Caenorhabditis elegans: one gene and its partners. The protein of the gene in region 3 interacts with the protein of the main gene of each other region in a pairwise test. Each region holds a gene or a part of one and is shown on either strand. Other genes may lie near its edges.

Region 1 (7,319 bases), on a different chromosome or scaffold from region 3:
CAATACTCTTTTAAAGTCGCATTTTTAATGTTTGAGTTTTGATATTCTGTACGTAAGTACATAAAGTTTATACACAGAAAAATTGAGTTTTATAAACAGAAAAAGTCAGATTTAATCAAGGAAAACATTTAAAAAAACGCGACTTTCATCAGAATATTTCCGAGGGGAAGTTCGTCAATATTATGTTGTTTGTTTCACTCCAAAGTTCTCGCAGCTCTAACTTGTATGTTCGACGGTCCTTGTGAGCTGACAGCTGAAACTCTAGTGGAAACAAGTTTCCGTATTTCTTTCGATGTGAAAAAGAAAAATGAAGGTGTGGCTGCACCGGCAAGTATTTCCATCTGAAAATATTCAGTTTAAAAATGGCATACAATAAAAATAAGTTTTGCTGACCGTATTTACAAAACGCTTGACTAAAAAAGCTCCAACATTTGTAATTTGAACAGATTGAGCAAATAAAAACACACAAGACGATGCCTGAATTTTTTAAATGAAAATACCAATTTGATTTGAACCAATTAAGCGTACTTGAAAAATTAAAAATACAAAAATAGCTTGCTTTAATATCAGAGTTTCGTTTTTGCTCAGTGTGCTGCCTTTCATATATATTATTTTGACAGTTATGGCAATATATATGATAAGTATAGACAAAGGAAGGAAAATTTGAAGCATAGTTTCCATCTGAAATTATCATTCTTATAAACGTTACTTTTTTTTGATAATCACAAGTTGAACTTCGGTAGGGGTTGTCATTGTGATAACGACATTTGCATAATTGGTTGTTTCACAAATCAATTGGTATTTTCTAGCAAGTTCACCAAAGCGATATTGACAATTTGAAAACATTAATGCATATTCCACACCAAAAGCAAATATGTAGATACTTGAAATCCAAATATATATAACTTTTCTATAATTTGAGAAACTTAAAGTTAAAATTAGTTTTTTTTCAACTAACGACTCGAAGAACCTATCCGTCAAATTCCGGAGAAAAAATACAAAAGCACGTTGGACGGCAATTACCAAATTTGAAAAAAGAATAGAGTAATGACAAAAATCGATTATATAAGACACAAAATAAAACATTCCTATAAAAAACAAAAATTGTATTGTTTATCTCACTTTGTTCATAAATTTAGGCTGGCCCACAAGATCGAACTGCAAAGTGGGCAAATAATACTTACGTGATTGTGTTACTTCTTTCGAAAATAAAGATAGTGCAGCTGGAATGTTGATGAACAAATTTGCAGCAGAAATTACAAAAGCTGATGTTGTTAATTGAGTTAGAAACCAGAAGAATCTCATCTAAATGTTAAAAAAAAAGTTGTTTGAATTGTATTTCCAACGAGTCAATTTTCAGATTTTTTCAGCGTTAGTATATTCATGTTTGTTGAACTGAGCTTGTCAACATCACCTACCGATTTGAAATGTCTCCACAAAAGTATTGATAAAACTAAAAAAGACATTGTCAATATAGTTGCACCAATTGTAGACACAACAAAAAGTGATACCACTGAATAGTAAAGCCAATTTTTTTCAGAGTCGGAAATATCCAAGAGGAGCTGAAATTTTAATTTTGATGCCACTAATTTTGAGATCCAGTATATTGAAAGGAATGTGGAATAGTACTCGTAGAGACTTTTTTTTGAAGTAATTGACAATGAACTGTGATGATAAATTCAGCCAAAGACGTCAAATTACAAAAAAACCATGACAAGAATTGCCAATTATTCTTAGTTTTAAATATTTTTTCAATACTTCATGCAATTTTGTTTCAAAAATTTAATTTTAAAAGATATCTCACCTCTCGCATAGGCCCTTCAAGTCTTTTTTCCATATTGAAAATGCACTTTTATTGAATTTTTCAAATTACGTCCAAGAGGAAACTTGAAGGAAATTATATATTTTTGGAAATTCAAGAATTTTCCTGTGACGCCGTGGTTAAAAAGGAGAGACAGCTGAAAATACAAGAAATGTTAAAAGTTGATGTTGTTAACTTTAGATACGCATGGCCATAGGGTGTGGTTTTCTGAATTTTGAGCATGTAATATGGCACATTTTAATATTCGAACAACGCGTGTTTATTGCTCACACCTATAAAAATTTCATATTCAGATTGGTTTCTCGGAGCCGGCCACAAATGTGCATGTTAACAAAAGACTAAAAAGCTCAGTTACAAAGAAATGTTCAAGTACCACATTTTCGTGTGACAGAAACACCATATGTAATGCTGAAAAAAAATCATTATGAACTTGATGCTTACTCTGATGATGGGAGAGATGTTACTTGGAGTTGCTGAGAAGGCATCTGCACCACTGACTGTGAACTATATAAAATCTGATTTTACTTCTATCAGTAAGATACCAAATTGTTTGTATTACACTGATCTAATTCATGGCAAAAGCACGTCCAGCGTTAATTTCGAAACGCTTTAGTGAAAAACTTGAAAAGATATCAATTTAGTTTTCATGTTTTCTCCAACCAATACTTTTTTAGCCTTTTTTCAAAATAAGAACGCCAACAGAAAATTATGCCGTGCGAGAAAGTCGCTTCACCTTGTTCATCGGTTTTCATGTTTTTTCTTTGAAGTATTTCATAAATTGTTTGTTCCTCATTTATTCCTCATCCCAAAAAATTGCCAGTGTTTTGCCAGTTTTCCGCCGCGGTCATATGATTTTGCAATCATTTTCCTCTCTCACAACTAACTATTAGCAATGGAACAGCAGTGGAACAACCCTTCGCAACACGTTGCTAGTTTTATCTCGCCTTTTTTAAATATTTATCTAGTGTTATCCTTACAAAAATTGATTTAAAATTGACGTTGCATATATTCTTAGTGCTTCTATATTGGAACCCCACACTTAAAAAATACAATGATTTTTTTTTACAATTTTTTCGTTTAACTTATCAAGTTTGAATAGACCTGAAAAATAAGTCTAGCGATTTCCTTGATTCATTTTTAATTATTTTTTTTTAAATTGAGGTCATACATAATAAACAATTACCTTGCTTCTGATTATTTGAACAGTGCGTCAATGTTTACCACAATATATTACGCCATCGGTACAAAACAAAAACAAGTAGTTTTCTTCCTCATCCCAAATTTCATTCCTTTCTTTTTTAGTCGGCGACGTATAGTTTCTCACATACATAATATTTTCAACTTTTCACAAATTAAAGTGTATTATAGTTACAGAATCATGAGTACGCCGAAGAGATGTCATCCATTTCTATCAAAAAACTCTGGAGAAATGCTGAAAATCAGACAGTAAGAATACGCATATTTGTTTCAATAGTTGAGTTATTTCAGAGGAACTCACGAAATTCGTAGCGAGCCTGTCCAATTTTCAAACCAGCCTCCTGTCAACCCACCCGTGAACACTCAAGTTGGCTTCTTCAGAAATACCGACGGAATTCCAAAGCATAAAAATCGACCGGTTATGCCCAATAGCTCGTTTCCTACGAGATGCGTAACCTATGTGGATGTACTTAATCTGAAACCTCAAGTTCAATTAAAGAAAATGGAATTCAAGAAAGAGAGTTTACCACCAATGAATAACCCATCAAAACCACGAGAAGATCCTGTGGTGCCAGAAATATTGAAAAAAACCAGCTCCGGGATCAAATCGGTTCAGCATGTTTCTCAAAAAGGTTAGTTTCGAGTGTTTTTATATTTTCGAATTCGTTTTTTTTAGATAAACTTCATTCTGAAACAAATGAAGGTGTTCAGCCAGACATTGCCCCCCTTGACGATGTTCACAGGCCAGTTGTAGAACTCACCCAGTATCTAGGCTCAAATAGTACTGAGAAGCCAGATGTTACAATTGCTAAGAATTTGGAGCCCTCTAAAATAACAAGTATGTTTTTTTTAATAAAAAACAATTGTCAAATAGACAATGGTATGAAACATTCTTCAAAATGGACAAAGTACCAACAGAAACAAAAAAGGTTTCATTGAATACAAAATGGATTTTAACTTTCAGAGATTGTAAACGAAGAAACCAAGCCTGATGATCAAATCCAACAAATTTCGCATTTGGACGTTACAGCAAAAGAAGATGTTGATTCAAGTAAGTCAGAATAAAAATTCTACATATCATAGTAAAACTTTTCAAAAACTTTCGAAATGTGATTTACAAAAACTTTTTATTGGAAAAACTCAAATTTTCGACTAGCTTTATCATGATATTCTGTTACCTCAGACTGATTAAAATATAACTCAATTTTTTCAGGTATTGAACTTGAAAATGAAGATAATTGTCAAATAGACGATGACATAAAAAATACTTCGGAAGTGCGCAAAGAAATAACAAAATTTGAAGAAACAGTGGCTGTTCCTGATGAAAATGAGCAATCGTTTGTGAATTCCAGTAATTTCGTCGACCCGAATTGTGAAAAAGGTTCGACAATTTCATTAATTTCTTGAAACAATTTTATTTAATCTTCAGAAACTTCAAATGAAGATCAAAACCAACAAAATGATGTTGTGGCCGAGGGTATGTTTCCTATATTATACAATATCACTCATAACAAAATTTAGAAACGATGGAAAAACCTGGTAATTTGACAAGATCGTTTTTGACCGAAAATAACAGGCTTCTTATTGAAGAAGCTTGTTTAGATGGCATTGAGCATTCTAACATTGTTGCAGAAATAAGAGGTAAAAAACAATTGCAAGGGTTTCTTTCTAAAAAGTATTTCAGAAGACGAAAAAACAGATGAAGTGGCTTGGGAAGATTTAAATGCAAAAGAAAAAACAGACGACGAAAATCAAACAAATGGTAAATTATAATTCTGATATTAATACGGAAATACTTTTTAGATAATCTGCCCGAAAAACAACTAACAAATTCTGCGGAAGTTCCTCCATTGTGTCCAGATGATGCTGGTATGTCGAGTAATTATTGACAAATCTTTATTTTTGTTAGTTTCAGATCCACCAGCTGAGCTTTCCAGCCTTTCAGAAATCATAATCCAAGCGAACTATCTTCCAAATGATGGTTCTAGTAACGGAGAAAAGTCTGAAGACCGAGGTAAATAAAATATCTGGTTGGTATCTTTAAGTTTGGAATTGGTGATTTGGTTCTAAAATACTGGGAAGATCTTTTCTTTATCAAGAACTGTGGCATTTTCATAAAAAATTTTCTAATGTTAAGATGCAAATGAAATCATGGATTTGTCTCAAAATCCTCCGACAGATCAATCTGTAAAAGAAAGCTCTGCACCGCCTCTTGAAAACCCATCTAATTTTCAGCCGGAAACTTCAAACAAGTTTGCACTATTCATTAAACATCTACAGAACTAACAGTATTTTCAGATATGCCGATCTGACTTTGGATGACCTTGAATTTGACTCACTGAACTCGAATGACATGACCAACGAGCTTGAAGCCTTGAAAGAAGAGACCCCAGAATTCAATAATCAAGAAACAATTGCTTGAAGTTAAACAGATGCATTGATTTATTATTTAATTTTTCTTTATATTTTTTGTAAATAATTAAAGGCTAAGTGATTATATCAAATGGAGTTATGTCATTTTACAGCTTCAATATAAAACAGTTAAAACGTTGTCTGCTTTCCAGTTGTTTTTTATTACCTATTAACAGAAAACGAAAAAAATAATAATAAAACCCGAAAAACCGAAGTATTAAATCATATATGAATAGAGCAAAATTTAAATATTAATATAGTTAGAATTCACTCTTTTTTGAATCTTTTATCGGAGTTAAACAGTCTATGTCTTTGAGTCTTTGAGTGAGATTTGAAACTCTTGTTCTTTAGTCACTATGAGTTTCTCAACACAGAGGAACAGGAACCCTTGCTCTACTTTTAACCATAATTTGAACAATGTATGAAGATAGTGTGATCAATTTGTTTCCGTTTTATAAAATATATTTATATCAGAAAACTATCACAAAAAGTTAGGAACAAAACGAATCTGACATTTCGTTTTAAAGTTAGCAGTAAATTGCAAATAGTAGAGAGGAAAAGAGAGAAATAGACACAACAAACAAAGTCAAAATGACGCAGAAACTTCTTGCTAGTCGTAGTTTCTCACATGAAATAGATTCCAATCAGTTTTTTCTTGTTTATGTGATTTATATAAAAAATATTTGATTCTCATTCAAAATGCCAATCCCTCCTAAAATCAAAAAAGGAAAGAAGAAACGATCGCAAGAAGTGAAGAACGACAGGAAAAAAGAATTTTCGAAATTGGACCAGCCGGCAAATTATAAAGCTATTCGAAAAATTAGCCCAGTGCCAAAAAAGGAAACAAATATTTATTCACCAACGGCAAAATCAACAGCTCCCATTCATAGAGTAAGTTTTTTTGTAATTGGAAAGTCAGAAAATAATCAGAGTTTAGGAATTCAAAAAACAGCAAAACTATGGAGTTGGGAAAGCTGTACCAGTTTCATTCAACGATCCTAAAAAATTGGAAAACAACAACTACATTCATATTCCCACAACTCGACGTCCTAACGTGAGTTTTTTATTTGGAAAAATCAGTAATTTTAATTTTAATTTGGATTAATTTTGTATTCGAATTAAAATTATTATTTGTGACAAGTTCTGTATATTTTGAATTTTAAGAGGTAACAACAAAATCTGATGTTGTTACCAGCATGATAACTTTATAAAACATTAAAAAAAGTTCATTCGCCATGAAAAAAAGTTTCTTATTGATCTGAGCATTTGAAGAAAAATTATTGTTATTAATTTTTTGCAATATCTCTTTGTTTCCAGATTTCTGCAGCCAGATTCATCTATAAAATGAAATAATTTATTTTTCAGCCTTCCATCAATCAGCGAAATGTAGGAAGTACATTCAGGACAACTCCACAGCCTTCTGTATGTTTATTTTTGTTGAAGCTTCTTTTTCAGTTTTATTTTTCTCAATTGTAAAATGAACTTGGGTTTTAAATGGCCATCATAAACTAACACTTTGTAAAATTCAAACATTTAGTGGAATTTTCATTTGAAATTTTTTAACTCTCATCGCCCATAGTCTTTTGACAAAAACATTCGTTTTTCAATAAATGTAGTTTATTTGTACTGGAATGATGTGACTTAATGCTATACATGAAAATAAAATCTCATTGGTCAAACTGAAACTACGCTTAAAAAGCTCCAGAAATCTCTTGATATATTGAAATTTTGATCATTTCTCAAATTTTGCTGGTTGAATGAATTTTTTTAAAAGTAATACAAATATCAAAAAAAAATCTTTCAGGGTTCAACACATCAGCCAAACATAATCAGCACAACACCATCACCTATACAGGTTTGTTGTGACGCTTTGAAATTTGAAACATGT
Region 2 (5,158 bases), on a different chromosome or scaffold from region 3:
AATTACTTTATAAATACTAAATTCCGTTATTTTCAAACGTATTTTAATTTATTAATTTATTTATTCCGATTTCAGATGCTCAGAATAGTCTTAGCCCGCTCAAGTAGAGCAATGAGCTCTGCTTCGCCAGCGTCTGCGTAAGTATCATTCGTTTCTCTTATTTCTTTCAATAAATAATCGTGTTTCAGGTCAGATAGCGACACTTCAGTTCGAAAAATTGGTAAAGCACTGGAAACTTATTTGAAACACAGTCAACAACATGTGGCGATGATGGAGAAACACAGGTTTATCGATTTTTGAAGTGAAAATCGTTAATAAAGCATTTTAAGAGCAGAGTTCGAGACAGGACGTCGACATCTTGCCAAAATGATGAGTCTTGACATTCATGAACTCGATCAAGAGGCAATTGACAGGTTTTGTAACAGTGTTTTGTCATATTTATCATAATTGGCATTTTCAGAGCAATCCTATATTTATTTCCTTCTGGATTAACCGACCCAAATGCTCGTCCAGTTATGAGACCACCAGATGAAATTCTTCCAAAATTCCAAAGATTCACATTTGACGAAGAAGGAAAACCAGAAGGATCCCGATTTTTCACATTAAGTCCAAAAATTTACGGGCTTTTGTCGGATATTGGAGTCAAAACGCATTCTGTTATGAAGTTTTATGATGAACATGTTGGAAGTCGATCGGTAAATCGAAGTGATTTGGAACCAGCGTAATTAGTAACCATTTTTTCTACTGAAACATTTATTAATTTTCAGAAATCTGAGCGGTTCTCAATGGGTTACAGCTGACAAATTGAAGAAAAAGCTCTCGGAAAAATTTTCAAAAGAATTGTACGGACAAGTCATCATTGCATTTGAGCATCTTGCTTCATTACCAGGATCAGCTATTGAACAAAAGTTTTTGATGGAATTCAGAGAGCCAATGACCGCTTCAACTGGATCCAAATTGTTCGGTCCTGCGATTCCTGAAGTGCATGTTTGTGCAGTGACCAACAGAAGATATGCAGAAGTGACGTGAGTTGTCCTTCTTTTAAAAGACAGCAGAGAATTTTTGCCAAAAATCTAATGATTTGATAACCTTAAAATTAGTTTTGCCATTAAAAATACTTGTAATTTTTAATTAAACAAATTTTCTCTAATTGTAAACTGAATAATTGAACAGTTTTTTTTTCAGAACACGATGTAAAGATACTCGTGCTACAGTTAAGGTCACAGACGCAGGAAAAGGAAAATTCGATATTGATGGTCTCCAATTGCACGATTTCAGGCATCTTCAAGCCAGGTATATTTTGCGAACATCGAATTTTTCTGATAACATAATTTCAGAGAGATTCTTCTTGCACCAATGATTGTCAGTCAGTCTCTCGGTCGATTTGATGTAACAGCGACAACTTCATGTATTTCTAATACTCTTCCAGAAGCACCAAACAAGGCGCCATTGTGAGACTATTAAAATTTGTTACTCTGCAACAGTATAATCACTTTCTGCAGAATGCGAAGTGGAGGAATGAGTGCTCTACCGCGTGCTGTTCGCCATGGAACTGCACTTTGTGTTGCCGCTTTGCAACCAGAAGCTATCGAACCACTAAGATTATGTAAGGACATTTATTTTGTAAAAAACTTATAAATTCCTAAATTACAGCTGGACTTCTAACACTGGACCCACGGAAAAACGAAAGAAGCAAGGTGAATCAACCGGGTGCTCGTGCTAAATGGATCTGGAAACGTCGTTAATTTATGAATACCCACTTTAATTTTGTTTTTGTTAATTGGTAGGAAGTTTTCAACTAGAATTCTTGTTTTTATTGTTTTTTTAGACTTTTGAAAAATGAAATTTATAAAATAGAAAAGCATACATAACGAGACATCAATTCAAAAATGGGTTTGGTTACTTTTCAGGGAAGGAATGCACTGGGGGGGGGGGGGGGGGAGGTAAAGTGAGTAAGTTTTTAATCAGTATCTACACGTTTCTTGAGGATGCAAAAGTGTCCGCCGATTTGGAACATTTCAATTTGGAAGTCGTCGTATTGAACTTGGATCGTGTGCACTTTTAGATCACGGAGTTCAGTTCCTTGAGTTCGAGTTGCCATTCGCATTGCATTGTAGGCAATTTGACGAGGGTTCTCCGCTTCGAGGAAAGTGCTGTGGGCCTGGAAAATTTTTTAATTAAAATTTCTTACCAAAAAAATGTGTAAATTTATATTTAGAATTGAGCAACAAGTATTTTTTCTAGAAATTATTTTATAAAATCTTACAATTGTATTTCCTTTGCAAATCATGAAAGCGAGGACTCCGGGAATCTGCTGAAGGTTTTCCAATGTGTACTTTGGCTTGGACTTTTTGTTTGATTTGCTCATTCTGGAAAAAAACGTCATTTTTGTATAATTAATCAAGAGCAGATGAGGAAGAATAAAACAGTGCAAAATAAATATGGAGCAAACATGACTCGTGAGCATTTCTGGTCAAAAATACATTAGGCCACGGCCACCACTTTACACTTGAAAAATTTCGGTCAATACATACATCACGGCTGTTTTGGACGAGAAGAGACAGAGATCGTCAAACAGAAAAAAACTGAGAGAAAGAAACGAAGAAAAAATATCGTTTTTTTCAGAAAGTGGGTCGATGATGATGGGAATGAATGAAACAATTCAGTAGGTGGTGAGAGATGCGATTATATTTTGTTCTTATATTTTCTGTGATTTTTACAACTGGAAATGGCAAAATTCAGTGCAAGAATATGCGTGGAAAATCTGTGGACTGGTGAGTATTCTTACTCTTAGGCTTCATGCCTTCAGAAAAATTAATCTGAAACCAAAAAACTTCAGGTTTGTCGTTTATAAACTTCCAAAACTTTCCGGCGCTGGAACATCTGGAAAAGAATTTGTTTATTTCGATGCCGAATCATCAGATTGGACACGTGGAAATGACATAAATGATCCAAATGTTGCTGTGGGAGCAACAGTTTCCCAAGTGTATTCTGCTGATAAATCAAACAATTTTTGGTTCATGTACAGTGATGATGATCCTATAAAGTCAGCTGATTCATATAGAGGACATGCGAAAGGAGTATCACTTTTTGATTCAACTACTGGATTTTGGTTAATTCATAGTGTACCGAATTTTCCACCCATCAAAAGCTTTTCCTATCCGAACACGGCTGAGAAATATGGACAATCATTTTTCTGCGCATCAATGGAAGTTCAACATCTAACAGAGCTCGCAGAGCATTGGAAATATATTCAGGTATGTTTAGAAAAACCTGTTATAAAGTTTTTTAAAGCTACTTTTGAACGAATTTTGACTGCCTGGCTTATAAATCTAAAAGACGCATGAAAAAGTTAACAACAAATTTTTCAACTGATTGTTTATAAAGTTTCCTAGCTTTTCAAACACTAATAAGAAAATAAAATCGACTGATATAATTATATAAAATTCAAAAGATAAACAAAGAAAAAGAACAAGAAAAACCGTTCAAGTAAACGCGCTCCATTGATAATAGAAGCTTATGGTAGTCGGCGTGGCTTAAGATTACAAGCACAGAAATAGTTTTACGAGTATCAAAAAGAGTGAAACTTAACGGATTTGACCGGATTGAGCCAGATGGGTAAATTCTGAAAAAAAAATCAAAAAATAAATAATCGAGTCGCTTAATATAAATTAAATTTTTGGCGAGTAATCGCTTCATTGATAACATTTTAAGCGGAAATTTGAATTTTAGTAACTGTAGCATACTTTCAGGCGACTCCCTACATAATAAATATACCGGAAAAATATGCAACTCGATTCCCTACATTGAAAAATGTTGAAGCTAAACAAAGTCTGCCACGTTCAGCCACTCAATTTTGGATCTCAAAGCCGATTAAAACCGTACAAGGAGTTACATTGATGGCCTACGCCAAACATAAAAAGTTTGATGGAGGTAAATTGGAAAATTATATTTAAAACTGTAATAGGGCTATGAGCTTAAACAGATATTTGGAATGATTTGATATCCCGCCAAAATAAAGTAACACTAGCAGTGGAGAGTTGGTTGAATGGCAGTGGAGACGATATTCATACAACTTGTACGAGTACTAGTCAGGTATGAAATTGATAATTTCAGACGTGAAATAAATCAGAATTTCAGACTCATGACGTCACAGAAATGCGTGTAACCGGGCTGAACTTCGCGAGCTCGAAGGATCATTCGAAATGGGCGGTTTCAAATTCTCAGACCAATCCGATTGTTTGTTTTGGAGATATGAATAGGCAGGTTGGTCACATATCGTTTTTTAAGGATCACAGACTCGCCACGAAAAACATTCAATCATAAACTTGAAGAGTATTCATAAAGTGAAATAGCACACTTTTTGTTTTCAGAAATCACAACTGAAACGTGGCGGTGGAGCATTGTGCATTCAAAATAGAAATCTTTGGCAATTATATCATTCTTTTGTTATTCAAGTTGAACCGTGTAAATCTTCTTCTCATTTTTCCATGTTCCAAACAATTGCCACTCTCCTTTCCGCAGCCGGCCTGGTATCAAAGATTTGAAAAGAAAAATGGCCAAAAAAAGTTGGGCGAAAAATTCCAAACTATTAAGGCCAAGCTTCTTCAAAGTACTCAGTTATCTATATTTCAGAATGTACTCCTCTGAAAATTGAACCTCTTTTTGTTGCTTTAACATAAATTAATTGCGGGTGAATTATAACACTTCTGTTTGACAACAAAACTAACAAATTTTAATTTCTAAAAACTTCATAGTCAGAAAAAAAATTAAAAAATAACTTAAAATAATTATCAAAATCTTCTAGTCTGTTCTCTGCCAAAAATTTGTTCTCGGGTAATAGACACGATGCTTTGGATCTGAAAATTAGTATTTTTTATAAATACCAAGTAATCATGTGTAGTCAGAGTATTCCATAGTTATTTAGCGTCTGAAACATGTGGTAACCTCATTTTTTGGCAGTAGGACGTCTCAGGCCCGTAAATTAACACGGAGTTCGGTAGAGCGTCGCCAACTTTCGCGGTAACGTAATATAGAAAATAAGAAAACAGCGACGTCATAATTCCTAAAAAATGAGGCTGATATGTTTTCCAAAGCCCAGACCAACACTCTATATATAAAATCAAATATATAAAGCTTACCAGGCCGAGAAGAATTC
Region 3 (7,260 bases):
GCAGAAATTGGAAATAAAAATTTGTAGAAGAGGAAATATTTTCAAAAATGGAAAAAGAAATATCAGTTTACAAGGTAACCGTTTTTCAAGATAAAATCACAGAAAAAATTTTAAAAAAATGTCTGTAATAATGGGTTTATTTAAAAAAAATTTCGAGGATTCTATGATTGTAATTTACAGATTACCATCTAAAACTTTTTCTTTTTATTTTTCACTTTTCTGATTGTTATTCATCAGGTTATTTTTGTTCCGAATTTAAGTTTTAAATGCCAAATGACAGGAAAAGTTGTTTTCCAAAAGCTTTCCAATCAATTTTTTTGAAAAATGAAGGGGGTTTCTCAGATGTTAGAAGACAAAATCTATAGATGCTACGTGGCATTAATATTTTCAAAAAGAAAAATGTTATTTATATCTAAAAATTTTGACAAACCGTTTCAAACACCAGCAGCAAAAGTTTTGCATGGAGAGACGAGAAAGGGAGGAGGTGGAAGTGTACATTATGAATATATTGCAATAAAAGTTGATCAATATTTCGCTGATTTTTTTAATACATTTGAAACCAATACGAAGCATTCAAGTTTTTCGAGGGAAACTGCCTTTTTACAAAAAAATTAATTTTGAAATATCAGTTTTTTATGTCTCGAAGAAAATTTCGTTTTGATTCGGAAAAAAGTTGTGGACAAAAGAAACAAATGCACAAGTTTTCAATATGCTTATGTGAATCACTGTAAAACAGGAAAAGAAATGTTTTTTTGTTGAAAAAATTTTCCAGTTGATTTTTTGTCAATTAAAGTATAATTGGGAAAATTCTAAAGAATTAACATAATTTAAAATGTTCGTGTTTTAGATATAATTTTGAGTTTTTTTAAAAATGTTTTTCATCTGATTCTGAAAAAAGTTTATTTGATAGACAAAAAAAACTATAAAAAGCTGACCGTCTTCCATTCCAAATATGAAAAATAATAAAATCGTGGGTCGAGGGAAAGAGGGAAAATATTCGATTGAGAATGCAAACAGTGTGCATGTTCACACAGCTGGCAGTACTATATGTTTCCAATTATTTTATTCTATCAAAATCATATTTTAATAGTGAAACAATTGGTTAAACAAAAGGATTACTCTTTGAAGATTTGCAAAAAATTAAACAAAAAATACACCCGAATGTATTATTTGGCCAATCTTTAAAGTAAAATAGATGGTACTTGTGTATTATTTCCCCTCATTTTTAAATTCCATATATTTATCCATTTTAATAAAACATGATGTTCATTTTCCCTCTTTACGGTTATTTCCTGGTTATGGTTAAAATATTAAAACTTATTTTTTAAAAATAAGGGAAATAATACACAAGTGCCAACTAGATACTAAAATTGGGAAAATTGATGTTTTGATTAAACACAAATTCAATTTAATTTCCAAAAAAAATGAATTGAAAAGGAGTTGAAAACGCATGCTTGTAATAATCATGATAAGAAAGGAAGACAACATAAGAAGAAAAAGAATTGATTAAATGTACGTGGAGCCGCACCTTTAAAATGATAACAAAGTGCACATACAAATGTTTCACTAGACCTCTACATTTGCATAACCTAGTTTTGAGAACTCAGTGCCAGTTTTTACTTCTTTTTGCAGATGAAGTCAAAAGCACTTCATTTTGGACACACAACGAGACTTCCGTACAACACACACACACACACAAAAACTAAACAATAATCAAAAATGCATGACAATTTATATGCACAGTTTTCGTTTTTCGCAGTTAGATCACTCACACCAAAACACTCGCTGTCGTAGATGACGTGGTTTTTGCAACAAAAATGGATAACTGGCTTTAATTTGGGAAACATTTTGGTGCTCACACCAATTTTTCGCACTTTTTTCATGTGATGCTTCAAATAAAGTAATTGCTGAAAAGGAAATCGTTTCAGATGCCGGAAAAATGTTGGAAAAATACGCGTTAATCCTGGCGAGAGAAAAAAAACAAAACAATTGGAAGTGAACAAGGCTTCGAATTGTTTATTTTCATTTCAGTGCATTGCTTCCAACGACGGTGAACACTATTTTTAATTAATTAGTTTTCACATTTCCCTGTTTTCAAGGAGTTAAGGGAATATGATATGTTTTTTAGAACAGTCATCATAGTTGTAACTCCATCGTAGGTAGTTTAAAAATCGTCTGTAAATCGAGCAGCATGGACAAATTTGTAATTGTTGTTCAGGTTTCTTTGTAATTCAACAAACATTGAGAACAATGTACATTTATTCTTGCAAATTAACAATTTAATCAAAAAGTCACTTCATCTTGAGATTGTTCACTTTTCCAAGAGCTTCTTCCAAAGTAGAAATATCACTTCTGATGTCTCTTGCGAGACGTTGAAGTGCTGCTACCTTGTCGAGAATTTCAACTCGTTGAGTGTAAGCATTATAACGAATTTGGAATGGACGATTGATGGTAGCTGCCCATGATCTGAAATTATCTAGATTACAGTTGAAACTGACTATTTGATCCTACTTAAGTTTGTTCTTAGCACTTGCAAATGATTCAGCTAAGAAATACTTTGGCTGATATTCTGTGATTGGATATTTGGTGACACAACATACAGCTGGATCAAAATCTACAACTTCCGGCTTATCACTCAACGCATATTGAAGCTCTCCAAATGAACTCAAAAGTCCGGCTCCGTAAGCTTTTTTCTCCCCATCTTGTTGACAGATTCCAAATTCGATTGTGAACCAGTAGAGCTAATATTTCAAAATAAAAAGGGGGTTTCAATGTTCAAACATACTGTGGCAAGTTTTTCAATAACATCATCTGGAGCTCCAAGAGAAGCAAGACCGATTTCCTGTGAGAATTGTGCAAATTCAACATCAGCAAATAGTGGAACATGTCCCAGAAGCTCGTGGCAGATATCTCTGAAAGTTACATCTCCAGCTTATTGTCAAAAATTCAGAATATATCCAGATGATAATCAACCGATTAGATTTTATTTTCCTTTTATGTTGCACTATAGAGTTTTCACAATTTTTTCAAAGCAAAAGTCGTTTACGAAATCCCACCCTCGGTTAAAATTATCATGTTCAAACTCACGGTTCAGGTGTGTATTTTGGAGCGGAATGATGGCGAATGTATTGTGTGGAATGAAAAACACGGAAGGCCAAACCAGCCAAGAAATCACGAGAAGAAAGAAGACCAGCGACTGGTCGAATCGTGTACCCGGTACAATCTGAACACGAAACAAATACAAAAACAATCAGATGATAATGATTTGTTTACCCTTCAAAAAATCTGAAACATCCTGCAATTGTGGAATGCGGTCAGGTCCAAAACCACAATTCTGCTGGAGGAGTGGGAATATGTAGTTGAACTCTTGGCAAGCGTTTTTCGGGTACATAACTGTCAGCTCGTTGTAGACTGTACGCCACGTGGCAATTTCTTCATCAGTGTAGGTGATAGTAGGGATCTTGTCTCCGCTGGAAAGTACGATCAGGTTGCAATTCGGATTTTTTGGATTTTATTCAGTACGCCTTCAATGTTACATATTTATTGGCACATATTGCTACTTTTGTTGATGAAATGACTTACTGTTTGAAGTTGAATGCAATATCGGCGAAAAACTTTCTGCGCTCGCGGTAGGTCATGTCCTTAAATCCAGGGTGATCGGCATCAAGCTCAGCTCCATAAGAAAGAATTCTGTTGGCAAATTGATCGATGTCGTTGATCTTCTGTGGGAACCATGGAACAGAATCTACAAAGCTCTTGAATTTAATACTGTGAGTTTCATTATTGTTATAGCGTACCCTTGTTTTGTTTGTTTTTGGTGTTCCAGTCTTGAACAAGAACCTTCTTTTCAGCTTTTTGTTGGAAATGCTCAATAACTCCTTCAATCTTACGATGGTCTTCAGCTTCAGCAAATTCAACGAGCACCTCATAGCATCCTTCATGAGTCTTTGATGGTCTTGATTCAATGTGAGACAGATTCACATCATGTGCCTGCAAGAATGTGTAATGAAGCATGTAATTGGTAGGAATTTGAGACAATTGATATGATCTCTTTTTCTCGTGACACGATTTTCGACATCTTTGATAATCAAAAATCGCGAACCGGATTAAAAAATGCAACTACGTAGTTTATCTCTTATCATATTTAGAAACAGTTTGGTGCAAATTTTCAAATTTTAATTTGATATAAATGTTTTTTCTATGTCTACTCAACCGTCTAAACATAATTGAAGATCATATTATTCAACGCTTTATGATGCATAAAATATTAAACCGCCTGATCAAGAGTAGACGTGAGAATCATAAGATTTAAAAAAAAAAGTGTCGCTGACGCAATAGTCATCCTCTGAAGTCTCATGATCCTCTGACATTTCTAGTCTGGTTTTTTTCATGACTAACCTGGAACAGCTTCAATGTTTCAGCGAGAGCTCCTGCCTTTTCACGAAGAGTGAATACGATAGTAGTCTTGCCAATGTCGGCGTTGACGTCAGCAACGTACGATTCCATGGCGTACTTCTGAAATAAGTTGGACTTTAGTAATTGGAAATAATTTTACACAAAATTCTCAAACAGAAGTTTTTCTTGATCAGTTCAAACAAGGAAGGTCTCACCAAGAAGTCAAGATCATCTTGTCCAGCTGGTGGCATTTTCAGAGAACAAGATTTGGTTTTCAGAGGAATAGACAGTCACCGGGAAATAAGAATTAAACAGAGACAAAACGTGAGCCGTACGTTGCCGTTTATACGAGACGAAATAGCTGGAGACTCAGAAGCCTAGAGATACAAGGCGTGGCCTATGAACTAGATAATTCGTGTGGCCCCCAATACCATTCTGCAGAGAAAAATCCACGTGGGAGGAGACTCGCGGCTACCCATACACAACCTACACGTGGGTTTTCATTAGAGTGTAGTGTGAGATAGAAGAACGGTTGGAAGAAATTGAAAAAAATACGAAGAAGAAGAAGAACAGTCAGATGATGAACTTGAAAGCACGTGGAAAATGATATGAAATAGATCACAGACAAATGGACGCCTGAACAATAAAAGATATGATTATGATCAATGAAATACAGTTTGAACTTCCAAAAGAAAGCATGCCCCAGTGGATCTTCTTCGTAAAATAGATGTAAATCTCTGTTTCTAGTTGAGTTGAAATTTAAGACGTTGGGTATGAATTGGATTGTAGGCCTTTTCAGGCGTATGTGCTTACATACAGTCATTTTTCAATTTCAATTAATTGATGAAGCTTAAATATGGATAGTGGAATGTTTCATTTTTTCACGATGCTGAAAAAGGGGAAACTGAAACAGGTTTTTTTTGTTGAGTAAATTTACCGAATTTGGAGTCTTACGACTGCCTTGTGACGAGCCTCGTTCAAAACTTTTTTTCAACTTCCTCAAATTTCTCGAATTTTAGTTTTTGACCTTAAACAGACATTTCAATGGTTTTGATTGAAGAAAAAACCAAGTTTTCTTTGAAACGATCAAATGGGTTACGGTAAAAGCCATAAAATCATGGTGTATCGAATCGAAAGTAGGAGGGGGACGCTGAGAAAAATCAACAGAACACAATAATGAAAACTGGTTGACGCATCCTTTGTATTGTGAAAAGGAAGGAAAATGAGATGAGATGAAGACGTGGAATATTTAGATGGAAATATATAGGAGGACGTTTGGTTGAATGTCTGACATTTTAGGATGATAAATTTAGAAGAAAGAAATTTATATGAATGGATGAGACAAGACGATGTCATAAATCAGTTTGAAAACGGCAGAAACGATCAATAGTTGATGATGTCCGACTGGCTTTTATCAACTTTTCGTGAAAATTTTCGTTTGCAACGCGAATCTTCTGCAGACCATGATCTGAGATGTCTATGTCAATGAGGTAAATAGGAACAGTAATACAGCATTGAAACAATTAATTTAGTCGATGGTTGATCATAAAAAATGGAGAAATTTTGAAAATACTCGTGTACGAGATCAACTGATCAGCGACGGTTTCGATGAAAACAGGGGAAAATATAAGGATGATAACACTTTTGAAGATAGCAAAATATTTTGGTTCAAACAGTTTTTAATTAATTGAAATTATTTAACAATTTTCTAATAGTATGATAACAAATTCTATAATTTTTTTTAATAATTTCCGTAGTTTTGACCAAATTTTTGTTTAGATTGTAACTTCCACGGATATCACGTATACTTTGGCAATAGAGGCTGGCATAGGCCGCCTGGTAGGACTTTGTATTTATGTATTTTCAGCTGTTACCCTCTTTTTGAAAAATTAAAGTATGGCCGAAAAAAAGTATTTTTAAAATATTCAAAATTAGCAAATTGATTTTTTTTTTCAGATAATTTGGCAAACATCAGTTTCTTATTACAAATGCAAATGTTTGACGTTGGACTAGTATAAATAAAGAGCTCGATGTACAAAAATTATATCATAATATTGAGAAAAATGGATCAAACATACCTTTCTAATTTCATCAATATTCATCCTTATATAGCTGGACTCAACAGACCAATAATATAACTGATGGAATGTACGAAAAAGGAAAAGGAAGGAGGTACTGCCGGGATAATCATCAGTTTACGTTATCATCTTATATCTTGAATGCACCGAGTCGCGTGGAAGATATCCAATCTGACCTTCCATTTTTATCTATATTTTAAATAAATTTAAATAAACTTGTTCAGCAGAAAACTCGTTATTACGTGAACCAGATAGAAAAAAATGGTCGGAACAGTGAAATCAAATCAGTTTTAAATTTTTAATGGATAGGAAAGGGTTCACAATGGAAAAGGTGAGTGGCTTTCAGTTATTTGATGGCTATTGCACGCATTCAAACATTCTGCAAGTGATTTATTCAGGGAAACATAGACGATATTTGGACATTACAAAAAGTTGGCACACCTTTTCCACCAAATGTTGCAAAAGCTCCTGGTGAGACAAATAAGTACGTCGCATTATGGTATAAACACGGAAAACCAGTGATGGGCAGAGCTTGGAACGATTCTGGAGTGGTGAAGGTAAACTGGAAAAATAACTATTCAGAAATTAAAAATAGACTTCCAATTATTTGAACTTGCAAGTATGCAAGTTCGCCTGCATAAAAGGTAACTTACAAGCGGTATTAAAATATTAAAATACAAAAAAATATGGAGAGCCACCACGAAGTTTTGATTCCTTGGCCAATCAATCCAATTTTACAGGGAATTTTACCAACGGTAGATATGTGCTCTGGAAAGCTGGATCGATT
Region 4 (10,367 bases), on a different chromosome or scaffold from region 3:
GACTTTTGAGGGAAAAATCAGTTTTTGGAGGTTTTTTTTTTTTAATTTTAATGCGAATTTCATGTATTTCACAGCAGAAAATAGGCAATTTTTGATTTTTCGACTGGAAAATCGCTAGTTTTCGGACTTTTTAATGGAAAAATACGTAATTTCCATTTTTTTAAAGTGATCTTTTTTATAATTTCCGCTAAAAAACTGATATTAACATTTTTTGGTTGAAAATTACAGACTTTGTTATTTTTATCCGAAAAATCTGAAAATATTCATGATTTCTGATTAAAAACGGGATTTTTTTTGGTTTTTCGTGAAATTTTTCACATTTTTTAATTTTCAAATGAATTTTTGTTTTTTTTTTTGTTAAAATTTTCACAAAAAACTCTGAAAAAAGATTTTAGCTTCAAAATTCAACAAAAAAACTTGGTTGAGGCGGTGTCAGTTTGTAGTTTATAGCCTCTCAGCCTCAACCAATATTTTGGTTGCGGCTCACACACTACAAACTACACATTTTGGGTGAAAAAAAAATGAAGGTATTCGCATAAAAATGGGCAATTTTTGAGGAAAAAACTGAGAAAATCGTTGAAAAATCAATATAAATTGCAATTAAAATGAATTTTGTCAATCAAAAACTGAATAAAAATTTAAATATGCACCGAGAAAATCAATGAAATGAGCGTATGAATAAGGCCACTGGGAAATCGAGTTAGTGTCAGAAATAGTACACAGTAAAAAAATGTAATTTACAATATAACAATCAAAAAAAATTTTAAAAATTCATGAATCCGGGTCCAAAATCTCTGTTTTCACATTAATCTTCGGCGGAAACTCGTCACAATTCGGAGTTTTCTGCAACAAAAAAAAATTAATTTTTTGTCAAATTTTCAGTGAAAATTCGATTTTTTTGCTACCTTCCAGTGTCTCCGGAGACTATCTGGGCTCTGATAGCAATATCCACATTTTTGACATTTATAGGCGTCCGGATTGCGGTGTACAACGATATGATGCTTGAGACGTCGTTCCGATGTGTACTTTTTCGGGCATTCCGGGCAATTGTGCTTCTGAAAATTCGAAATTGTTGGGCGAAATCCATGAAATTGTAGTTTTTAGTCATTTTTATAAGAAAAATCGGGAGAAAATCGGTTTTTTCGGCCGAAAATAGTTTTGGGTGAGGCTCAGGGACTACAAACTACAATTTTCTTAGCCTCAACCAGTTTTGCGTTAGTTTTTGGTGTTTTAGGATTGAAAAAGTGAGTTATAAGCTTAATACATTGCAGTTTTTAGTCATTTTCATATAAAAAAATTGCAGAAAAATCAGTTTTTTGGTCGAAAATGTTTTGGGTGAGGCTAACAGACTACAAACTACAATTTTTCTAGCCTCAACCAATTTTTTTCGTAAAAATTGAAGGTTATTATCGTAAAAAGTTAATAAATATCATGAAATAGCCGTTTTTACTCATTTTTATACAAAAAATTGGGGAAAACCGTTTTTTTTTTGGTCGAAAATGTTTTGGGTGAGGCTAACAGACTACAAACTACAATTTTTTTAGCCTCAACGAATTTTTTAATACGATTTTCAACTGAAAATTAGGTTTTTTAATAGTATAAATTAATTTTTAAGCGAAAATTGAATAAAATCCTATTTAAAATGATTGCGGTTTGTAGTTTGTAGTCTGTGAGCCTCAACCAAACGAATTTTCGTCCTATTGGCTGAAATTTGATGATTTTTCATGTTTTCAGGGCAAAAATTGTTAGAATCGGGGTTTTTTATCAGTACCATTTCACTTTGGCCATCCTCATCATCTTCGTGATCCTCTATTTCTTCCGGATGCTCAGATTTTGGAGAAATTACTCGATTTTCCACGATTTCTTGTGAAAATTCTGGATTTCTAGGATGAAAATGTGATAAATTCGAATAATGAGCTTGTTGCACAGATTGCGGGGGCGAATATTGATTTTTCGGTGAACAATTTTGAGGCACATTTTGCGAATTATTGTCGTAGACCAGCTCATATTCGTCGGTTTTCTGCTCCGCAAACATATTTCTCATTGTAGTGAGCACTTTTGGTCCATCTTCGTCTGATGTGTAGTTTGAGGAACAGGAAATATCCTGAAAAATTGGAAAAAAAAAGTGATTTTGCAGAAATTTTCGGGGAAAAACCTCTATTCCACTTTGTAAATTGAAGTCATCGCCGAAAAGCATGTAGTTTGGACAGGAAAAATCCTGTTTTCTTTCTGTCATCTGAAAAAAAAGCAAATTTAAATTTAAATTATTCAAAAAACAACTATTATCGTTGAAAATTGCTGCTAAAAATTAAATTAAATTAAATTAAATTAACCTACCGTAGCCATTAAAGGCGCATGCTGTGTTCCCTCGAATGGGTTTCTACACGAAATTGGAAAACGTCGGATTTCGGCAGGAATTCTGGAATTTAAAATCACTTTTCTCCAAAAATTAAATATATCGATTCATTTTCTTCACATTACAAACAAAAAAACACGTTCAAGTATCTGAAAATCACACAGAAAGCCGCCGTCAATAAAATTCGGTGGCCGCGTGGCCGTGGACTAGGTTTCGTGTAAAGGAACGGCCATCGACATTTTTTCGATTTAATTCTATTTTAGAATATTTTCAGCGCATTTTTAAAGCTTTTAAATAGAAAATCTAGCTGAAAATTTCGAATTTTTGTTAAAAAATGCTAGTTTCCACCTTTTTCCTCCCAAAAAAAACCAATAAGATCGATATTTCCTGCAGAAAATCACAAAACGAGGGAAATGGAAGATTGGACCAACTATCATCAGGCACAGCCGGCGGAAAGTGGTATGGCGTTGTGATTTTATTGAAAAATTGAATTTAAAATCGAAAAATTTGGCAAAAAAACACGAAAAAATCGATTTTTTTCGAGATTTTCGCGAAATTTTTTTAAATTTATTTAAAAATTAATTTTCGTCTATTTTCCAGTCGACTGGGCCCAGCTGGCCCAACAATGGATGGCGATGCGCGACACAGACGATCGTCGAGCCGGAAATTCACACGATTTCGCTCAAAATCATCAGCTCCCGTGGCATCAGCCACGTCATCCGGGCCCTCCGGCTCATCAGGATTGGGGCGATTGGTCCGCGAATCGGGACGAGCAGTGGAGAGGGCCGCCTGGGCCTTCTGGGCCGTCCGGGCCCCCCGTATATCATAATCAAGGCCCGCCTCGTGGATATCCACCACCACCGCCACAGGGAGCAGACACGTGGCGTGGAGCTCCTCCACCAGCTCACCACGGACACTTTGGACCGCCTGGACATCATTTCCAAGGCCCACCACAACATTTTCCGCCAGGGCCACCAAGGCCGCACTTTCCAGGCCCCCCAGGCCCACATAGACCTCCAGAGCACTACCCAGGGCCTCCAAGACCTCAGGCTCCAGCGGCACCACCACCGAAAAGCCTATTCCCGTCGGCCCAAAAGCCTAAGCCACTTTTTGCGGCGGCTTCAAGTGCTCCAAGCTTCTTCGGAGCACCTCAACGTCCACCACCGCAGCTGCACTTTTTCCAGGAGAGCCCCTCGGTCCAGCACGATTTTCAGCAGCCCGATTTCCAGCCCGATTTCCAGCCCGAAAACTACCAAAATTCCCCGGAACCCCCGGCCCAAGCTGGCCCGAAAGGTGTGCCTCCACCGGCTCCACTAATGGCTTCAGGGCCCACAAACCCGTATGCAATGAACAAAGAGGCCCGGAAAAAACTGCCGGCCTGGATCCTGGAAGGCCTTGAAAAGGCCGAACGGGAGAAGCAAAAGCAGTGGGAAAAAGAGGAAAAGCTGAAGAAAGCGGAAGAAGAAAAAGCCCGGCGAAGAGCCGAAGCTGGAAAGAGCAAATTTGACTCTTCGTCGGATGAAGAGAGCCCGGAAAATGAGAAATTTCCTGTTGGTAATGGAAAATCTGAATATCAGGAAGATGATAATGATTCGGAAGACGATTTGGAGGAGAGACGAGAGCAATTTGTACGGGAAATTCTAAATTCCTGAAATTTCCGCAAAAAAAAACCTAAAAACTACAAAAAATTTGAGAAAAAACGAAGATATTCTAAATTTTTAGAGGAAATTTTTCAAAATTTGAGAAAAAAAACCAATTTTTTGAAAAAAAAAATCCAGCTTTGTAGTTTATAGTCTCTCAGCCTCAACCAATATTTTTGGTTGAGGCTCACACACTACAAACTACAAAAAATTTTGAGAAAAAACCAAAAATTTGTCGAAGATTTTCTGAATTTTTAGAGAAAATTGCTAAAAAAATCGAGAAAAAACCGACGAAATTTGATCAATTTTTGTTGGTTCAGGCTCATGCTCAGACACTACAAACTACAATTTTCGGGTAGCCTCACCAAAATTATATTTTGAACAAAAAAATCAATTTTACAATGAAATTTTTGTATTTCGAGGAAAAATCGTTTCTTTTTTTACTTTTATTTCAAAAAAATGTTGAAAATTTGAAAATTTTAGCCGGCTAGACTACAAACTACAGAAATTTTTTTTTTTAAATTGTATTTTCCCAAGATTTTCTGAATTTTCCAGTGTAACTCCTAAATCCTAAAAATAATTCCTATAAAACACCGAGTTTTTGATAAAATTTCAAAAAATCTATTGGTTGAGGCTATGACAATTTGTAGTTTGTAGCCTCTCAGCCTCAACCAATATTTTGGTTGAGACTCACACACTACAAACTACAATTTTCGGGTAGCCTCACCAAAATTAAATTTTGAAAAAAAAATAAATTTTTCAATACAACTTTTGAATTTCGGCAAAAAAATCGTTTTTTTTTTCATTTTTAATTCAAAAAAGTTTAAAATTTTAGACATTTTAGTAGACATTGGCGTTTTTGATGCCAGCTAGACTACAAACTACATGAATTTAAAAAAAAAAAACAATTTTCCCTAGGTTTTCTCAATTTTTCAGCGTAAACCATAAAAATTCCAATAAAAAACCCAGTTTTTGATAAAATTTACAAAAAAAACATTGTTGAGGCTATATGACAATTTGTAGTTTGTAGTCTCAACCAATTCAAAAATTGGTCGAGGCTCAGACTACAAACTACAATTTTTAAGACAGCCTCACAGAAATTTAAATTTTCAAAAATTCAATTTTTTCAAGATTTTTTAAAAAATTTTCTAAAAAGTTTTGAAATTCGGGTAAAAAAAATTTTTTTGTTTCAAAAATTTTATAATTTTGATGCCCGCTAGACTACAAACTACAAAAATTTCGAAAACAAACCTTAAAATCTTCCCAAGATTTTCAGAATTTTTCAGTCAAAACCTTTAAAAATGCAATAAAAACCGAATTTTTGATAAAATTTCAAAAAATCTATTGGTTGAGGCTCGCGTTTTTGGAGGCTGTTAGACTACAAACTACAGAACTTTTGAAAAAAAAAAATTGAATTAAAAATTAAAAAAGGTCCATTAAGTGGAGAAAAACCTCTTAAAAATTTCAAAAAAAAAATTTTCGAAATTTTTTTTCCAGATACGCTGTGTGAAAACTCTAATGATGAACGTGCTCCTCGAGTCTTCGAATGACGTCATCATGCGTATAATACAAGAAGAGCTCCGTGAGCACGAAAAACTTCAATTTGAACGGAAAAAATTGGCAACTGCGCCGAAAATCATCGGCAACAGCTCAGCGTTGGCGGCTCTCGCGGCTTTTGGTATGGAGAAGCTCGCGAAAATTCGAAATTCGGAAAAAACAATTTTTTTGACCAGAAAATTCGGTTTTAAAAGTTTTTTCCAAGTTTTTAATTTAAAAAAAACCGAAAACTTTAACATTTTTGAAATTTTCTTCCAAAAAGCTATGAAAATCGTATAATTTTTCATAAAAAATTCATAAATTGTTCCAATTTTTCGACGAAATTTTTTTAAACAAAAAAAATTCGATTTTATCGAGTTTTTTGAGCTAAAATTTCAAAAAGTTTTTTAAAAATTGATTTAAAAAATTCGAAAAACGAAAATTTTCAACATTGTCTTCAAAAGTTTCACATTTTTTAAAAACTTTTTTCTAAAATTTTCGAATTTTCCATATTTTTTTTAAATTTAAAACAGTTACAATTTTGAAACAAATCGAATTTTCTGGTTGAAAAATTTGAGATTTTCCGAAAAAAAAAGTAAAATTTTTGATTTTTAAATCGAATTTTTCAAAAAAAAATAGCGAAAATTTAGATTTCCAGAAAATTTTAATTTTATATAAAAATTGTGTTCAAAAAGTTCCTGAAAAGCTCTTCTTTTTCCTAAAAATTCAAATTTTTCAGAAAAAGTTTTCAAAAAAACATTTTTTTTTTTTGGAAAAAATCGGTTTTCAGAAGCTTTTTTAATTAAATATTCGTTATAAAAAACGATTTTCGAACAATGTACCAAAAAAGAATTTTTAGTTTAAAAATTTCAATTTTTTCGATTAAAAATTCCATAAAATGTGAATTTTCAATTTCTCGAAAATTGTAAAACTAAAATTCAAATAAAAAAAGCCTTTTTTTGCAAAAAAAAAGTTGAGTTTTCAGTTAAAAAAAAAAACGTTTTTTAGAGCTAAAATGTCATATTTTTTGAAATTTTATTTCAAAAAATTCAAATTTTTCAAATTTTCCAGGAGACGGTGAGGATAGTGACAACAGCAGTGACGATGGAGTTGGCGACGACATGGAGCCACGGCAGGAGAGCAGTGGCTCGGCGGAGCTAAATGGAGCATCAGGGGCAGCAGAAGCAGGAACACCAGAAGCTGGTGGTGGAGAGTTCAAGGCTCCCGTGGGTATCCCTCGAAAGTTTAGTGTTAAGACAGATGATGTCAAACCATCAGTTAATGATGATGGTGAAGGTGTTGATGATTTACACGTTCCAGGTAAGGTAAACTAATGAAAAATATAAAAATATATTCACTTTTTGTTGAAAAAAATACCATTTTTGCTAATTTTTTCCCCGATTTTAGCGTCAAAAATGTGTTTTTCTGTAGTTTGTAGTCTATTAAAGCGCGAATTTTCAGCCAAAAAACTTCAAAAACCTACTGGAAATCCACTTTTTTGAATTAAAAATTCAAAAATTTCAGGAAAATCTGCAAAAAAAAAATGTTTTTTCAATATTTGTGTGAGGCTATGTTATTTTGTAGTTTGTAGTCTCAGCCTCAACCAATTTTTGAAATAATTGAGGCGCGCTGGAGACTACAAACTACAAGTTTTCTTCACAATTTTCACTTTTTTCCGCCAAATTTGAACTGAAATTTTTTGGGATTTTGGGACATTTGGGATTTTGGATTTTTGGGACAGAATGGTTTTGTAGTTTGTAGTCTCGGAGCGCCAATTTTCAGCCAAAAAAAATAATATTTTATTCCAAAAAACCCACTGGAATTCCACTTTTTTTGGATTAAAAATTCAGAAATTTTCGGAAAATCTGAAAAATTTTGAAAATTCAGTTAAAACCGCTTCTAGAACTCGAAAAATCTATTTTTTAAATCCAAAAAAAAATCTGAACATTCCTGAACATTTGGTGAGGCTTTGCTCATTTTGTAGTTTGTAGTCTGTGAGCCTCAACCAATTTTTGAAATAGTTGAGGCCGGAGACTACAAACTACAAGTTTTCTTCACTTTAGCAGAGATTTTTCGGGAAAATCTCACTTTTTATCTAAAAAATTTCAAAAATTCTTTTCTTTTTTCAATAAAATCTCTGAAAATCCAAATAAAAATCCAAAAAATTTTTTTTTTCTAATTTTGTAGTTTGTAGTCTGTGAGCCTCAACCAATTTTTGAATTGGTTGAGGCTACAAACTACACATATTTCCCAGCCTCAACCTAGATTTCTTCATATTTTACTCATTTTTTAAAGAATACAAATGAAAAGTGTGAATTTTTGAAATTTTCACTCGCAAACGTGTAGTTTGTAGTCAAAATATTGGGATTTTACTATTTTGGGTTAGGCTAAGCTGATTTTGTAGTTTGTAGTCTTCGGCTAAATATTTAGAAATTTCCTTTCAAAAAGTCTGTAGTTTGTAGTTTGAACCTTGATTGAGGCTGATGTGATTTTGTAGTTTGTAGTCATTCTCTAGACTACATAGAACTACACAATCTACACACAAAATTCCGGAAATAATATTCAAATTTTCAGATTCAAAAAACGGCGATAATAAAAAATCGGAAAAATCGTCGTCGGAAAAGAAGAGAGAACGAGAGATGAGAGACGATGAGAAGGAGAGAAAATCGAGTAAAAAGAGCAAAAAACGATCGAAAAGTCGTGAAAAAGAGCAATCTTCATCACGACATAATCACCGATCGAGAAGCCGATCTTCGGAACGGGATCGCCGTCGAAAACGGTCGAGAAGTTCGGAACGTCGGAGGGATCGGGGGGACAGGGATCGGCATAGTCGACGTTGATTTTTATTGATTTTAACGATAAATTATTGATTTTTCCGATTTTTACCGCCGATTTTTTCCACCAATTTCTTGCTCCAAATTCTCATTGTTCAAAGCCGCCCGTTTTTCTGGAAAACTCCCAAAAAATTATTTTTTTGTATTACCTATGATGACATTTTCCCATTGATTTTTTTTTGCTTAATGTATTTTGAAGTTTTGTTTTTTCGTTTTTGGTTTCAGCATATTTCAGAATCGCACAATAAATTCTAATTTCGCGCCTGAATTTTTGGAAAAATAACTAAAATTTGAATTTCCCGCTAAAATATTAAAAATAATTTGAAGTTCGCGCCAAATTTTTTGTTTTGAAAATTCGAATTTCCCGCTGAAATATTTAAAATTTTTGGAAAAATTACTAAAATTTGAATTCGCGCCTAAATTTTTGAAAAAAATACACATAATTTAAATTTCGCACCAATTTTTTTTTTCGAAAATTCAAATTTTTCGCAAAAATCATGGAATTTAACATTTTAATTATTCCGCCAAAATGTTTAATTTCCCTCAAAATTTGAATTCCGCGCTGAAATTTTTGAAAAATTCTATTTAAAATTAGCGCCAAGATTTTGTAAAATTTAAATTTCTCGCTAATAAATTTAAAACACATTGAAAAATTGAAGTTTGAATTTTCCTCAACAGATTGACTAGAATTATCAGTTTTGAACGCCTCTCACGAGACAAAAATCAATGGCCGAGTTTTCCCGAATTTTCTAGGCCATGCAGCAAAGGTCGGTCATGAATTCCTTACACTCAGAATATTATAGAAAAAATACGATCGCACAAAAATAAACAACGACGCAACGACACTCCGCTGTTTTTAAGCCCCGCCCACGATTTCATTTGCACTGAAATGTGGCGGTCGCAGTGCAAATGAAATCGTGGGCGGGGCTTAAAAACAGCGGAGTGTCGTTGCGTCGTTGTTTATTTTTGTGCGATCGTATTTTTTCTGTAATAGAATTATTAACCTTCGATCTATTTATTTCATTTAGCCATAAAAACTATGTGTTATAGTTCTTCTAACTGATATGAATTTGTGCAGAGTATTGGCATGTTTTATCAATTTGTGACTGTTCGAAATTGTTTCAATGTTTTGCTTTTTTAATTTTTTAAACGGCCTGAAATTCGGCCTGGAACGGCCTGAAATTAGTTTTCAAATTTTTTTGTTCTTAAACTTTTTTTTTTTTGAAAAAAATAATATTGTATTTTTCACAATTCAATTCATAGAAAAATTGTTGTTTTTTTTCCAGAATGAACATAGGCAAATGTTCCATAATTTTCCTGCTCTTTTGCGTTTTCGGATCAATTTTGAGCCGAGCAATCCGGAAAAGACACCCAGAAGGGAAATTGGTTATTAGGGATTGTAAGAGATATCTTATCATGTACTCAAGGACAATTTGTAAGGAAAAATGCGAAAAATTCGATGGTAAGTGAGCCTGACTGCTATTTTCTGAAATTTTCCAACAAAAAAAAAGGAAAATACATACTATTTCACTAACTTTTCCCACACGTTTTTCATATTTCGATGTTTTACTAAAATGCTTAGCTTTTTTTTAAATACTATAGTTTTTCTGGGATTGTATATTTTTCTATAGTAGGCCCGCGGACTATACTCAGGGAAATACTGCTGAGCGTTGGCGACTTAGTTACTACTTAGAGTTGGCAGGAGTCTGTCTACTTTCGGCAAGATTGTGTCAAAATTCTCACTTTCGGCAGGAGTTCCTTTGCCTAAATAAGCCCGCGGACTATAAACACACAAGAGTCCCGGATCTTGGTTTGGAATAATAAAGAAAATCAAAATATATGCATAATGTTGGGGTGTGCAGTTTCGGCCCGAGTTGTCCGTAGTGTGGGTGGCAGTTGCAGGTCACGGTCCGCGGCAACGCCGCTCTGTCGCTAGTGTCCACCCAGGCCACGTGACCGAGCCAATCTCCCTGAATCTTTATATGAAACATTGCAATACTC

Evidence for each region.
Region 1: the proteins of pah-1 (region 3) and droe-8 interact in a two-hybrid assay, tested with the Caenorhabditis elegans proteins (one large-scale study listed by BioGRID).
Region 2: the proteins of pah-1 (region 3) and F09G8.7 interact in a two-hybrid assay, tested with the Caenorhabditis elegans proteins (one large-scale study listed by BioGRID).
Region 4: the proteins of pah-1 (region 3) and rsy-1 interact in a two-hybrid assay, tested with the Caenorhabditis elegans proteins (one large-scale study listed by BioGRID).

The regions. Positions count from the first base shown.
Region 1 is NC_003283.11:8,723,328-8,730,646, forward strand, and holds droe-8 (dietary restriction over expressed), read left to right. Parts: upstream 1-3,200; coding exon 3,201-3,268; exon of another isoform or gene 3,269-3,310; coding exon 3,311-3,651; intron 3,652-3,695; coding exon 3,696-3,857; intron 3,858-3,983; coding exon 3,984-4,070; intron 4,071-4,232; coding exon 4,233-4,400; intron 4,401-4,448; coding exon 4,449-4,496; intron 4,497-4,540; coding exon 4,541-4,660; intron 4,661-4,703; coding exon 4,704-4,781; intron 4,782-4,822; coding exon 4,823-4,888; intron 4,889-4,934; coding exon 4,935-5,033; intron 5,034-5,156; coding exon 5,157-5,271; intron 5,272-5,317; coding exon 5,318-5,441; 3' UTR 5,442-5,630; downstream 5,631-7,319. Other genes in the region: ZC196.9 (G-protein coupled receptors family 1 profile domain-containing protein), read right to left, coding at 195-341, 394-477, 529-681, 727-910, 959-1,088, 1,185-1,305, 1,419-1,562, 1,805-1,837; ZC196.5 (DUF713 domain-containing protein), read left to right, coding at 6,131-6,322, 6,369-6,485, 6,797-6,853, 7,236-7,286.
Region 2 is NC_003281.10:8,265,987-8,271,144, forward strand, and holds F09G8.7 (uncharacterized protein), read right to left. Parts: upstream 2,370-5,158; 5' UTR 2,369-2,369; coding exon 2,267-2,368; intron 2,162-2,266; coding exon 1,961-2,161; 3' UTR 1,935-1,960; downstream 1-1,934. Other genes in the region: mrps-9 (Small ribosomal subunit protein uS9m), read left to right, coding at 76-137, 189-284, 330-413, 461-721, 768-1,025, 1,186-1,293, 1,338-1,451, 1,503-1,606 and 1 more; crn-7 (Cell-death-related nuclease 7), read left to right, coding at 2,680-2,774, 2,840-3,257, 3,753-3,933, 3,986-4,095, 4,141-4,266, 4,374-4,547; mps-4 (MinK-related peptide, potassium channel accessory subunit protein 4), read right to left, coding at 4,804-4,859, 5,142-5,158.
Region 3 is NC_003280.10:8,760,426-8,767,685, forward strand, and holds pah-1 (Phenylalanine-4-hydroxylase), read right to left. Parts: upstream 4,787-7,260; 5' UTR 4,647-4,786; coding exon 4,611-4,646; intron 4,516-4,610; coding exon 4,399-4,515; intron 3,991-4,398; coding exon 3,798-3,990; intron 3,746-3,797; coding exon 3,583-3,745; intron 3,471-3,582; coding exon 3,274-3,470; intron 3,224-3,273; coding exon 3,088-3,223; intron 2,913-3,087; coding exon 2,786-2,912; intron 2,742-2,785; coding exon 2,512-2,741; intron 2,467-2,511; coding exon 2,292-2,466; 3' UTR 2,197-2,291; downstream 1-2,196. Other genes in the region: nsph-1.1 (Nematode Specific Peptide family), read left to right, coding at 6,775-6,804, 6,872-7,030, 7,214-7,260. UniProt on the Caenorhabditis elegans protein: Catalyzes the hydroxylation of L-phenylalanine to L-tyrosine. Catalyzes the hydroxylation of tryptophan to 5-hydroxy-L-tryptophan. Plays a role in the biosynthesis of a melanin-like cuticle pigment.
Region 4 is NC_003279.8:11,214,378-11,224,744, reverse strand, and holds rsy-1 (Arginine/serine-rich protein PNISR), read left to right. Parts: upstream 1-2,749; 5' UTR 2,750-2,769; coding exon 2,770-2,815; intron 2,816-2,956; coding exon 2,957-3,984; intron 3,985-5,493; coding exon 5,494-5,674; intron 5,675-6,603; coding exon 6,604-6,852; intron 6,853-8,106; coding exon 8,107-8,372; 3' UTR 8,373-8,568; downstream 8,569-10,367. Other genes in the region: Y53H1A.2 (C2H2-type domain-containing protein), read right to left, coding at 772-843, 906-1,055, 1,772-2,104, 2,156-2,236, 2,338-2,346; Y53H1A.7 (Ubiquitin-like domain-containing protein), read right to left, coding at 10,148-10,336; ins-36 (INSulin related), read left to right, coding at 9,654-9,828.